3 linked regions of the Neodiprion lecontei genome follow. The protein of the gene in region 2 purifies or fractionates together with the protein of the main gene of each other region. This does not show direct contact. Links are inferred from orthologs where the notes say so. Each region holds a gene or a part of one and is shown on either strand. Other genes may lie near its edges. The genes, in order: lysosome-associated membrane glycoprotein 1, transmembrane protein 192 and lysosomal aspartic protease.

Region 1 (4,674 bases), on a different chromosome or scaffold from region 2:
TGCAAGAGTATTAGTGATTCTTCACAGACAGTATTCTGTTTACATATAAAAGTAAGATTTTATGTGATTGTGTTTTTTCATTACCAAAGCCAAAACTGGTGGCACTGCCACTGTGGAAAGCTTGGAATTGTAAGTTTGACACTTTGATTTCGCCTACAGTTTTATTATCTTCTTTTGTTAGGTTCAAAGTTTGGATCTTCAGGCAACGGTAAGAGTTGGAGAGTCCTGTCGTAAACTGATTGCTCCTATGCTCAAAACTCATCGAAGAGTCTGTAAATCAGTAAACAGCTATTATAAATCGTATGATTTTGACCTACCTGTAACATTTTTCCACATTATTGATGTAAATTTTGTTGCCTTTAAAGTCTCAATATCTATCAATAAGAAACTAAATTTATCTCTCCTAAACGTATGAATAGACAGAAAAAGATAACCAACTCACTGGTAAGGTAGGGAAAGTTTTCAGGTGCAAGATCTACTTGCAAATCGTGAAGACTATATTGATTTTTTGTTATATTCTTTCTGAAATGAAGGGTCAGATTATTTTGAGTGGTACTGTTGGGAGTTGTGAGCCATGAAATCGTAATATTCTGTTCAATGTCTTTTGAAGCACCGCATACGCCTTTGACTTGAGTTTCATTAACAGGTAGATCCAGTACAAGAAAGTCACTCTGTAAAAATATAATTTACGTATTATAGACAAATTGTAGTAAGGATTAGGTTGAAAGAATAATTTCATCATAACACATGGTCTACTGATCTGTGAATACTATGCTTCATTTTGATCAATATCTGTTTCTATCTGAGATTAGCACAGACCTTGTGATCGGTTGTGATGTATGTAACATTAAACTGAACAGCCATCTTTACTATAATACAAGTTTCGTTAGTCTCATTGACGATCCATTTTCCTATTTCTGGAGTTGGCACAGGTGTAGGTGTGGTCGTTGGTGTAGGCATAACTGAAGTTGTTTCGGTTGGAATTGGTGTAACCGATGATGAGAAAATTGTAGTTCCATTGGTAGGTTGATTTGTGTTTTCAGTAGAGCTGGCCACGAGGCTGTTCGTGTCAATAGAACTACTTGTTGGAACAGTTTCTGCACCTGAGAAAATTAAAACTGAATTGAGTTACAAATAAGTATGGGTTTTTTCTGTGACTGATTTGTGTTCAATTTTACCTAACTTACATATCTTTACCTTATAAAATTTTGTTGTAAGAAATACAGGTTGAGGATCGTTTATTTTATAGTAAAACATACATACTTTGTCAATAAAATGCAGATTATGAACAATCAAATTGTTGGTAGTTGAATGTTGGCTGGGATTTATATGTCTGTTGTGGTCTTTAGTCATCATTTATTTTCAAGAATGGCTTGACCTTTAGAGGCCGACCTGACTCTTTTTGGAACCAGCATAACTACGAGACTCCACGGGAGGTATTAACTATTTACATACATAAAACATGCCTCTAAAAAATATCGAATTTCAAGAGAAAAATACCAGTCCTCTAAAGGTTAAGAAAGGATTCATTTCATCTTGCAAATAAGAACTGACTATGTATACTGGCCTGTTGAGAGCAGAATAGCTCGCTCTTTGTTTTAGAGGATTCAATATCACTAAGGAAGTTCTGGTTTCACATATTGCTATCACTTGTTTCAGATAAGCAACTGACTTGACTCACAGTGTATAATGTACTGTACTTAATGACCTGAAGTATTAATATGAAATTGTTTATGTAGATATGCATGTAATGCGTGCATAAAAAAATGTGATGAATAAATAGCTTTATCCATAATTCATTGGGATGTTTTCAAGACATAAGTCAACAGTATCCATTATATTTACATTGAAGGTTATCATATTGTAAGTATATCCACTGTTAACAGTGAAATTTGATCTGCAGACCTCACAGTGTCTCTCAACCAGACTTTCAAATACTTAAATTTGTGTAAGCATACTTTTGATATTGGATTGTTCTTTCGATTTGAAACCGATTTGGACTGTCCTTAGACTTCAGGGTATAGTTAATATCTTATTGTTCAAAACTGATTGGGCAAACATCATACAATAAAAAATATCATGCTCCAACTTGGAAAAGATAAATACTATTAATCACATCAGACATTTTAAAATGTTGAAGTAAATATTCTCTTTGTTAATGATCGATTTATGTGAAAAGGAGATTAACAAACTAATTCAGCATTCTGCCAAAGTTGAGGGGAAAAAAGTTATTTGTAATCTTGAATACGTAAAGAATTGATATTGAGCAAAGATGTGTAGCAATATTCAGATTAGCAGAAGTTGACAATGTTGTTTTTCCAAAGAAATATTTTAAACAAGACGGAGTAAAGTACAGTCATATAGATGGACATAGCTCTGAATCAGTATTCAGAGATTGGAAATTAGTAATTGTACAAGATGGCATAAATTCATCACGGCTAACTCTTGTGTGAGCTGTCACATCAAACAATAATGCAACGTCACGAAACGATAACATCGATCATCTGCCATTGCAAGGATTTGTAAAGAACTCGGAAATCCTTCTGAAATAAAATTCCGACATTACCTGAATGCAGTACTGCCACCGAGCAGAGAAGAAACAAGGCGGTTTGGAACATTTCTAAATACAACGATAATAAATTTCCAGGAACTATTTACTTCAGCACTGATATTCACTCGAATATCTTATAAAATGCAAATCTCAAACAATGCGGAACTTTCCGAACAAGTTCAACCATAGGTACTCGAATGGCGTAAACTCGGTAAACTGCAAAATAAAGTTGACTATGAAGAAAAAACCAGTCTCCACAGCTTACGGATTTATGTCCCCAAACTGATCAGTTTTTACTGTAGTATATACATATAGGTATGTGACTAATAACGGCTGTGACGATCGTTCCAGGCCTGTGACGTCCTAACGAACACTGTCGGACACGTCCAACAGTTAGACTCCGAAATATGTCGTGAAATTACATAGACGCACAATCTGTAGTTTTCCGTTGTTAGCTAAATTTTTATAGACAGCAAAATGCTGCTGTAGTATTTTGACTAATAGGAATGCCAATTCGGCAGAGAAGCGCTACCCTAGAGTCGGCCTTACAGACCTGACTTTAGCGTTACCCACTAATCTAATAGAGATCTGTGGCATTATTACGCATTCTGATTGTTTGACTACATTTTGCAACCCAATCAGAATGCTTAGGTGGTGGAAAATGTGGAAAATGAACATCCGTAATAAGCACCCAGATATGCGTGGAATGCTAATTATTTATTTTCTTGGCATTCCTATTAGTCAAGAACTAGGCAGCTAAATACATGCGTTACTGTTACTTGCGTGGATCAGAGCATAAACCATGCACGCATTGTACAAAAAATTCAAGTTTTCTCATTAAATCGAGTTTATTATGTCAATAAATTTCGTGACGTCACTAACTGGCGGCAGTAAGCTGTCGCGCGATTTCGTAACGCGGTTGCCAGTACTTGCAGTACTGCCAGTATATTTTGGAATACACCCACTGTGAAGTTGGTTGTCATGACAACGTACCCGCGTAATGGCAACGCAACGTTGAAAATTACAATTAACTGAAACGTCAAAGATCGCAATACTTACACTTTGCCTCATTCTGTCATTTTGGTCACGGGTGAGATATTATCCAGAGCAATGCGATTTAAAATATCATTACGAAATACCAATGGACATAAAGGTTTAGTCACGTGTGTAGCTTGGAACTCTACTGAAGAAATATATTCTTGTGGGTATGCATACAAACACACAGTCCAAAACGACGTTTTATTTTCCATTGTGAATGTACTTATTCATGTATATAATATATTCCCAAACGCAAATACATACACACGTGCATACATTCCCTATTAAAAATAATATAGTTTTTCAAATTCAGACAAAGTACCATTTTAACATATTTCCACAAACTTGCAGTGAAGACCATATCTTGTTATGCTGGCGACTGGAAGGTGGCACAGTGCATTCATCAATAATTACAACTTTTCCATCTGAATTCTGCCCAACGGATATGCAATGGCATCCTCGGCCTATGCAGCCGAGTATGTCTTCAAAAAAGCAATCTTTCGATATCCTCTTAATTACAACAGCTGATGGTAATGCAACTATCTTCAATAGACTTAATTGTAGAATAAAAGTTAATTCTGTTGACAGGTAAATTTCATTTGATTAACAAAAATGGACGAATAGAGAAAAGCGTCGAGGCTCACAAGGGAGCTACACTCGTCGGCCAATGGAACAACGACGGTTCTGCCTTGATGACGAGTAAGGTCACTTACAAATTCAAGTATACAAAATGATTCAGTGAGAATAAAATATTCAGTGACTTTGTTTTTGTTAACTTCAAACTGCACACGTTTTTAATAGGACTGCCATATCTAAGATAATCGTTTGCTTAAATCACTGAAACAGCCGGGCACACAATGTTTTCTGTAACAATAGTCCTATGCGTAGTTCTAAAACTTATCCTCAATAATGAATTACAGCAGGAGAAGATGGGCTTGTGAAGATATGGTCACGCAGCGGTATGCTTCGATCTACAGTGGCTAGAGGCAGACAACCAGCTTTAAGTGCTGCATGGAGTCCGGACTGTTCTTCAATTCTATATGCACTGGGTGCGCACCTCTTGGTTCAATTTTTCAACACAAATG
Region 2 (4,674 bases):
CCGTTTTCTTCGCCTTCGAAGTTTCGGTACGTTTTGCCCCCATTTGTCCCGAGACACCTTTATCCGACGACTTCTTCGATGGTGTTTTAGCACCCTCCGCAGGTTCCACAGTGACAGTGTTGGCATCTCTTTTCGAACAAACGACAACTTGTAGAGCCACGTCCGCGAACAGTCGGTCTTGTATAGCCTCGCAAATTCCGCAGCCGATATTCTTCCGGGTGATCGGGCTTTTATCCTCGGGGATTTTACCTCGATCCCGTACTTCGTTACCTGAGCGGTATTTCAATTCCGAAAGTCGGTTGTAACCGTCGTTCGGTGCCCCTGCCGCCGGGTCGCCGATGGAGGAATTGGGATAGGCGTTGACGTGAATTTCCCCAGCATACAAAGTTCCGTTTCCGCAACTACGACGGTTCATTCCTTGATTCGTGCACAGCTCGCAACACGCGCCGGCGTCAAGGAACCATTTTTTCTCCCGAAAAACTTGGAAATCTACGTCTTCACCGGTCGCTGAGGTACGAGTCGATTTTCTAAGCTGATTGCACTTGGAAACGCAGGTGCTGCGCTTCCACGGCTCCCAGGTCTGAACGGAAGTCTCTCGGGCATTGGTCCGTTTACAAGTTATGAAATACCATTCGTTCGACAATTTGCAGCCCCGGGACGGTTGCCGCTGACAGCCGTCCTCCTTGCTCTTTCGGTAATCTCGCTCCGACGTATCCGAGCCTCGGATACGGTCGTTCGTTTCCTGGGCTGCATCAATTACACCTCGTTGCACCGATGACGACGAGTGTTCGGAGAAATGTTGCATCGTCGCAGAGGAAAGCGGAATTTAACCCCATCGACTTATACGATTTAACGCGAAAATGCGGTCAGGATTCGTAGCGTAATAAAAGTCCTTTCGGAGTAACGTGCTTGGGTAGGATTTATCTGACAACAGTTGATTTGATGTTTCATTTTTAGTTTTATTTTCTATATTTTAACTTGAAACACTGCCGAGTTTTGAGGTTTTCCTTATATTCTGGCGATCACCCCGGTGACATCTTGTCGCCGTTTTCTCTTGTCGCTCCGTTTTTTTGTTTTTTTTTCCTTCCAAACAGCGAAAACCCAGCATATACATCGGAGACGCGACAAAAATTATTCCTCGGTCATCCATCGCGATTCGTGATAGTGCATAAGTTTGGCATTCTTGAGTGCATTATTTTTTAACCATTAATTACCCCTACTGTTCTGTTATACTACGATTACTCACAAAAAACATTAACAACTACGAACAACCAAAGGTACAATCATTTTGAAATAGCGAAAACCCAAGTGCCGTCTGCGCGCATCAGCCTTTACAATGAGATGTTATTGAAATTTTGAACTTTGGCGGGCTTCGCCTGACGAGAATGCTCGTCGTCTGCTCTCGATGCCATTGTGATTGGAGCGACACTTGAATCGCTTATTCCGTGGTTCCAAAGTCCGTGGCTTGTCACACGAGTGGTTGTAAACTCATCGGGGAAACGGCTGATCGCGGCTGATCTGATCTCATCTCTCAAGTTCCGACCGACGATCCGTCATCGAACGTTGATTGATACCTGTACCCCCGTCGTCCCTGTTCGATCATCGATCTTTCAGTCGTAAGACTATCGTTCGCGCGATGTAATATCGCGGCTGCAATAACGTTCCCGCAGTTGCGACAAACGTTGGGGGATCATAGGCGCGTGTTATTGCTAGCGCAACTCCGAGGAATGCATCGGCACACGTGTGGTGGCAGTCCCTTCCGATCGCTAGAGCGCGAGGCAGATAAAGACGGGCGATCTTTCGCTTGAAATCCTTCACATACCAGGCTCGTCGGGGAATGGTCAGCCTCGTGCGTGATCGGCCGAACACTTCTGGAAGCGTAAGTGAGGCAATGACCAATCATGGCTGATGGTTCAGCTAGTGTCGTACTCTCCGAGTTCGCGGAAAAGCCGACCCAGCCCTAACCTCAATATCGCCTTTATGATATTTTCGTTCGTTGAAGGGCGCCGTATTTTTTGCCGCTTCTATGAACATGGACGACGACGAATATCTGCAACCTGTTATCACCTCGCAGGAGGAAGACAACTTTCACAAATTGGACACGATCCCGTACACTTTAGTCGCCCTCGTATTTGGCGTGAGTAAAATATCATAACCTCGTTCTTGGTGTTCTTTTGTAACTCCTCGGGTGACGTAGAAAAACCTAACCGAAGTTCGAAAGTTGAGTAATTTGCGACATATACGCATTACGTACGAATTTAATTATTCTTAGGTTGCCTTGGAAATAACTGGGATAGCCTTTATCTCGTTCTGGCCTGAGGAATCAAACAAATGCGACACATATTTCGTACTATTGTATCTCCACTGCGCCTACTGGCTCCTGGTAATGCTGCTCGATCATATTCTCAAATCGAAACATCATCATTTGAGGATAAGCGGCTACTTGGACTTCTATCAGTCGACTTACCCGCACATAAGGGCTCCGTTTTTCGTCGCCTCACTTTGGAACGTTGCTTACCTTTTGCTCGCAACAATCCTACATCATACGCACAAAATGGACTATGAGAAATACTGCAGAGCTTCGGAGTGGCTTACGCCGATGAACTACATATTGCTTCTCACCACTTTGGAGCTTTCGATAATCGTTCCTGTCTACGTCAATTATATCAGTAAGCCCGGCGGATTGTTAGTTTGCGTCGAAGATGATACCGAAAAAATAAGATGCCTACCATTTCTTGTATCAAATTGATATAACTAACGGAGGGCCGCGTTCACATTCTAGGACGAGTTAGGCGCTTCAATCGATTGAGACCACCACCAGATGTCACCCGTGAGGAATGGCTGTCGTCGTTCACCCAAGACTCGTACGCCGGTGGCGGGGAGGTTGGCTGTCAGCAGAAGGGATCGAACTTGGCTGAATTACTCGAGAAGCAAGCCGATCTGATTAGGTACTTGCGCGATCACAATGTTAAACTCAGCCACAGGATGATGATGCTCGCGGACCAACGGAGACCCAGAGAGCCGTAATTGGCAATTTGTTCCTTCCTTCATGCGCGGTCGTATGATATGATGTTTGATGAATTTATATAATTTCGTTGCTTATATACTAATAACGAAACAATGTTTTTCCACAAAAATCGCCACTTCTTCTGTAGCGACGATCGTTCACTGCCGACAAACGAGTTGTCGGCAGCAAGTGGACGTTGTTGCCGACTGTTGTGTAAATGAACTTACTCAGCTTTGTCGCGAATTCGTTGAAAAATTTTGTGGTGGCAGTGTTAAATTTCCATCAGAGTGTTTCAAAATTTTCTTCGACATGTCGTTGGTTCTAAGAAGATCGTGTCAATACCAATCCTCGACTTTTCCTCTCCCAGTTATCGTTGCCGCTCCTATGAGAACTGCAAGTGTCGAACGTTCTGCTGCTATCTTCTTCTGAAGATTTTTTGTCGCGTGAAGGTTTCCTGACATGTAATTGTTACCCAATTAACTGAATTAATTGATGATAGTAACTTTTTCCCCTTGCTTTGCCTCGAGTTTCATAGGTCTTCTGAATAGTTCCTGAAGTGGAAAATTTTGTAACAGCGAGTAGTCGACAATTTTTTATGTGTGATCAGATAATAATAATAATAATGTAATTCAAAATCGATACGGTATGTTGTTTCAAAGGCGCTTACGGCCATAACGCCCAAGAATATGAAATACTGAGAATAAGAGATTACTGTGATATCGCCGTGAATGTAAATTTTACCAATTTAATAAAGTACGTATCTATATTTTGAATCGATCGAACCAGTTACATTCAAAAACACACGATCACCGTGGTTCTCTCTTCACGTTCCTTGATGTTAGTACATCTCTGCTAAGCGTTACAGCAAAGTCACTGTCATAAGTTGACGTAGGATTAATTTATTCACATTTATTTCCAAAATCAATTCCTTGTAGGTATTACCTCAAATATACTATTTTACATATACTTTTCAATTAATGCCGTGTTTTTTTTTTTTTTTTTTTTTTTTTCCTCCACAAAAATTTCATTACAAAATTAATAAGGTGTATATCGCTAAAAATTATCACTAGTTTACAATATTTGGAACAATCATCATTATTATTATTGTTATTATTGTTGTTGTTGTTACTATTATTATTATTATTCTTTTATTACCTTGCATCGCAGTCTTTCTGAAATTCTTTGAAAAAGTTATTGCCAAAAGTACGTTATTCTCTACTACCTTTCACCTGAAGCCCGCCCTCTGTTTCCAAACTATATAAAATTATACAGGGATACGCAGTGTATCCCTGAAGGTCGTGTATATATACATACGTATAATATAGTATACGGTTTTTGCAGTTTCAACGTTAAAGCCTCACGAAGTTTCCCTATACATATAATTACTATGAATGTTTCTTCTCATCATGCTCGCAATCTCTATATACCGCTATAGTAAAGGTTATAAATTTTTTTTTTTATCTACCTTTTCTTCTTTTTCTCCTAATTTCGTCATTTAATATACTATACGAATATTACGGTGACACATTTGGTGTGCGAGTACATTTACGCGCTCGTTACTACTTTCCTCGTACTCGTAGCCGTCCTAACTTCTTGTTTCTATACCATACATGCTATATAACTTAATGCGGCTTGCCAACTAAGCGTTCTGACGTAAAATCAATGCC
Region 3 (4,674 bases), on a different chromosome or scaffold from region 2:
CGTAGATATTATTTTTTCGAACTGTACAGGGATTTCTAGACTCCTATAAATAAGTGACAGCTAAGTTTGTGTCATAAAAATTTAATGAATGTGATTTTTTGCGTGCTGTATCACCTACACTGCATCAGGTGAACTGCAGGGAATTTGCAAAATTACCACCGATCAACTTCGTAATAGCTGAAAAGACCTTCACCATCAATTCAAAGTACTACGTTCAACATGTGAGTATACGCTATAACTTTATGAGATTTTTTTTTTGATTTTCACACCTATACCGGTCAGTAAGTACTTAAAAAACGAAAAATGACTGTATGAGCTTCATTTGTATATGATATCTAGAAAAGGAAAACTGTGAAAAGGTTAGTGTTTGTATTATTACTTATTTCACTATGAGAAATACCAAACGAAGTTTTTGAATGGAACCATCTTATTTTAATAATTTTGATTGTGACTTTCCAGCTAACATACGAAAGTTTGGAAATATGCCTATCACCATTTGTACCGAGCGATGAGAAGTTTTGGCAACTAGGCGGAGCATTTTTAATGGAATTTTATACAGAGTACAATTTTGATCACGGTCAAGTGACAATCGGAAAAACTAAATTCTAAAGACATAATATGTATAGTTGACTGAAGACTCTCAAAGACTGTGAACCTAATGGGGTTTTATATGTCGTATGGGATTGCGTGTTAAACAGCTCCCGCGGACAAAGAAATTACCAAATCGCTAACTAGGCTTCTTATGGCTCCAGCCTCACTTACCCGTCGAATACTGGTAACGAAAGTTATCCCAGGGTTGACAGTCTTTATATTTTTCCGTCAACGTACGTTTATATAAAAATAATCGCGCATAAGTTCCTTTTATAATGTTTATACAAATTTTAATTTTTCTCAAATAATGTATGTGTACCTACGGTCGAAAAATAATAAAATTTACCCGTGTGAAACATCTGCATTACGCTGTGTCACGTATCAAAGGCGAAGATCAGCAATGCAAACTTTAAATTTCCCTCCAAAGCTACGATCTATCGCTGTGTGCAATCGACTCGCTTATATCGAACGATGCGGAACATCGAGTGATTGCCTCGAAAAGAATCGAGACGGTGAATTCTCGATTGTCGGCACTGTTGCGATATCGACGTCAGAATCAGGGGTCGGGAGTCGGGAGGGAGCGGAAACAACCGATCTTCAATATTATTTGTCATCGTTTTGACGCCGACATCTACCGTTCGTCCAAGTTTTACGCACATATTAAACCGAGACTTTGTCTCCCGCGTACGCGAATTGATCCGCTGTTCCACTAGTCCACGGTGAAGTCGAATCAACGTTTTTCAACATCAACGGCGCCGATATGTGGCGAATTATTTTATGGGTGGCTGCGGCAGTTGCTCTTGTCAGCGGAGATCTAGTCAGGTAAAGCAATATTAGAATATCATTGAAAATAAGTAACGGGAATAATCTATGGCCGTTAGAAAGATATTTCAGGTCAATTTCACCTTTATTACGTATCCTGCTATATTTGTATTTTCGCAATATAATATTTCTACTCATTATCTCGTCCATTGTTAACGGGGTTTTATCTGCTACAGAGGCAATTGACTTTGTGGCTTTTTGGCACCGCCTGGCGGATATACATATATCAGTACTGCTACGAGAATACAACTTAATAGATGAAAATTTATAGCAACTGGGAACCACACTTACAAAACTCACGTGCAACTGACTCGTCATAAAATATGAATAATGCAAATGCACATATTTTGAGGATTATCGGCTTCGAATCGAAACTTGTTGCTTTTAAACAACGCATGAATAAGGATTGAGCACATCCTTTTCTGACACAGAGAGAAAAAGAGAAAGAAACGTCCGAACCAAATGATTCATTTCTAGACTGCAATTTTCCCATTGAAAAATTAACCTTTGTTCCCGTGTTCGAATAATACGAATCTCATGCAGTGCGTGTACATTAACTATTTATTATGATTGGATCGTCCCATCAAAAAAAGTTCTTTCCTTTAAACCAAACTTCAATTTATTTTAAGATATAGGCTCGAAAACTACTGAAATAAATGTAACGTGAATCTGTCATTGAGTTTTGTATTTCCCATTAATAATCGTGCTTGTCCAACGTGATTTACGAATGGATACATTATATTTATACGTACAGAGATACATATATTGTTAATACGAATACTGACTTAGCCTGATTTTTAAATCAGCTGTCCACGTTTGAGTAGATGTAACTATCCTCTGGAATTTTGTTTGCTCAATATTATCAGCCGTCGTATACATATAGAATGTATGCTTTACTTAGATTGACCTCTAGAGGTTGCACCTCGCTTTCTCTCCTGTTATCTATTACTTATGTTTCATTTTTCACTTCTGTGGAAACTGTATCGTATAAGTTAGATAATTACAGACCTCCTTGCTGAGCAGAAATGATAATACTTCACAACAGTAATATTTATTTATAAACGACGTTGTTTATTGAATCTTTGACTCTATTCCAAATCAATATAATAAAATAAAAGCACTAAAATTTCCACAAAGTTTCCTGACCTCAATATTTGCATAATTTTTAACCAAAAAACAATCTACTCAATTTTTTTTTTCGTGAATTAAGAACAAATGCAGAAGCCGAAATTTGTTCGAAAATCAGTTTTGAATGGTCATTTTCCATTGTATAATTTTTGCTCATTCAACAGAGTTCCTCTCTACAAAGCACAAAGTGCTAGAAGGAAGCTTCAATCTGTTGGTACTGAAGTGCAGCAAATCCGTTTACGGTACGGTGGTCCCACTCCTGAACCTCTGTCGAATTACTTGGATGCGCAATATTACGGCTATATAACGATTGGCAACCCACCCCAACAGTTCAGTGTCGTATTTGACACTGGCTCATCCAACCTCTGGGTGCCCTCCAAAAAATGCCACTACACAAACATAGCTTGCTGTAAGTATGCGTACGCTCTTTATTTGCATCTTGTAAACAAATAATAAATAATGACAATATTGCCAAGCTAAAGTTGAAGGTATTAGCGTGTATTTATATATATCATAAATATTTACTTGACCACCTGCCAATTAAATAGCACTGACTTTAGTTCTTACAAGTCATCGCCGCTTAGTTAAATCTTGCAATCTGATCAAATGATCTTATCAGATTTACGCCGACAACTTTATTCAGAAATTAAATCCACGCAATACCAATGATATTCATAAGTTTATAAAAAAAATTGGCTGATATCATTTCTAAAGATTAATCTGTTTCACAATCAGTTACGTTCAATACCACGTAATGAATCTTCATCATTGTTTATTTGTTTACTTGCCAAATTACAGTGCTTCACAACAAGTACGATAGCAAAAAATCAACTACCTACCAGGCAAATGGTACCAAATTTGAAATTCGCTACGGATCAGGGAGTCTCTCCGGATTTTTATCCACCGATGTGGTATCGGTGAGTATTCAACACATATTATCTATTATCATTGTCTATCATTTCCTTTTCCATACAGTGGTCTGTTTTTAGTTTGTATTGCTATATCTTATCCTCAAAAATTAATTTTTCTCGTGAATTTTTCAATATATTTCAGTTCGGAAATGTTGACGTTCAGAAACAAACGTTTGCCGAAGCCATGAGTGAGCCTGGGCTCGCATTTGTGGCGGCCAAATTTGATGGAATTTTAGGAATGGCATACCCAAGAATCTCAGTCGACGGAGTGACGCCAGTTTTCAACAACATGCTGAACCAGGGTCTCATATCTCAACCAGTTTTCAGCTTCTACTTGAACAGGTATGCCTATGTCTACAGTTGAGTAGATTTTATTCACTTATGCCTACCGAAAATATTGTATTTCACGTTTCTACCCCCAAATTCGAGTAATCCGATCCTTAAAACCTCATATTATTAACTCATTTGTTCTTCAATCTATGCATTCATTCAATTTTTTTTCCCGTAGGGATGCTTCACAGAAGCTTGGTGGCGAATTGATTCTTGGCGGTTCCGATCCCGAACATTATACTGGTGATTTCACGTACGTTCCAGTCGACCGTCAAGCCTACTGGCAATTCAAAATGGACAAGTACGTACTAATTAAAAATCATGCACGATCGCGTAATGTTTCTTTTTAGGGTCTACTTTCATCGTTGACTGACAGTAGGCATGCAAGCACTGCAAGGTTCACTTCATTACCGGCGTTCTTATGGGATCTCAATAATCAGAATAACAATTTTATCTTTACCCCTCGTTTACGTATCTTTAGTCAATGCTTTCAGGGTTGTTCCAGATTATCTACGTTATCAAAACCTGTATTTTACAGAGTGTTGAAGTGAAAAGTTTTTCCTTGTCAGGCAATAAATTACCCACACTTGTTGCGAAAAATCTATTTTAAACGATGATGTGTATTGCAATTAAATGAAAACGGGACAAAGTAATATCAGTATTCTTGAAACATTGATATTGCTTTCGCATCTGGGCGAAATATCTTCGTGAATACGTTATGTAAACTTCACTAATTTTCTAGTAGATTGAAAAATTTCCTCATTTTTCTTGATATTTTAGAATTGTAACGATCGCGATCAACTTGAGTTTGTTTATTGTATACTAAAGTGAATCGTTAAATCATTTACCTCAAGTGATGCCGTTAACGGAACGTCTGCATTTATTTTATTCA

The links.
Region 1: the proteins of transmembrane protein 192 (region 2) and lysosome-associated membrane glycoprotein 1 purify together in Homo sapiens (affinity purification with mass spectrometry; 3 studies listed by BioGRID and IntAct, with this or other methods). This does not show direct contact. The link is inferred for Neodiprion lecontei from reciprocal best matches to the Homo sapiens genes TMEM192 and LAMP1.
Region 3: the proteins of transmembrane protein 192 (region 2) and lysosomal aspartic protease purify together in Homo sapiens (affinity purification with western blotting; 3 studies listed by BioGRID, with this or other methods). This does not show direct contact. The link is inferred for Neodiprion lecontei from reciprocal best matches to the Homo sapiens genes TMEM192 and CTSD.

What each region holds. Positions count from the first base shown.
Region 1 is NC_060261.1:34,092,870-34,097,543, reverse strand, and holds the start of lysosome-associated membrane glycoprotein 1, read right to left. Parts: upstream 2,814-4,674; 5' UTR 2,619-2,813; coding exon 2,567-2,618; intron 1,104-2,566; coding exon 820-1,103; intron 672-819; coding exon 443-671; intron 271-442; coding exon 85-270; intron 1-84. Other genes in the region: intraflagellar transport protein 80 homolog, read left to right, coding at 3,662-3,756, 3,941-4,119, 4,178-4,288, 4,510-4,674. UniProt on the Homo sapiens protein: Lysosomal membrane glycoprotein which plays an important role in lysosome biogenesis, lysosomal pH regulation, autophagy and cholesterol homeostasis.
Region 2 is NC_060266.1:545,584-550,257, reverse strand, and holds transmembrane protein 192, read left to right. Parts: upstream 1-1,506; 5' UTR 1,507-1,837; coding exon 1,838-1,879; intron 1,880-2,002; coding exon 2,003-2,137; intron 2,138-2,272; coding exon 2,273-2,669; intron 2,670-2,782; coding exon 2,783-3,027; 3' UTR 3,028-3,780; downstream 3,781-4,674.
Region 3 is NC_060264.1:27,423,011-27,427,684, reverse strand, and holds the start of lysosomal aspartic protease, read left to right. Parts: upstream 1-1,182; 5' UTR 1,183-1,351; coding exon 1,352-1,413; intron 1,414-2,705; coding exon 2,706-2,950; intron 2,951-3,339; coding exon 3,340-3,458; intron 3,459-3,594; coding exon 3,595-3,794; intron 3,795-3,960; coding exon 3,961-4,083; intron 4,084-4,674. Other genes in the region: cathepsin D, read left to right, coding at 129-221, 460-609. UniProt on the Homo sapiens protein: Acid protease active in intracellular protein breakdown. Plays a role in APP processing following cleavage and activation by ADAM30 which leads to APP degradation.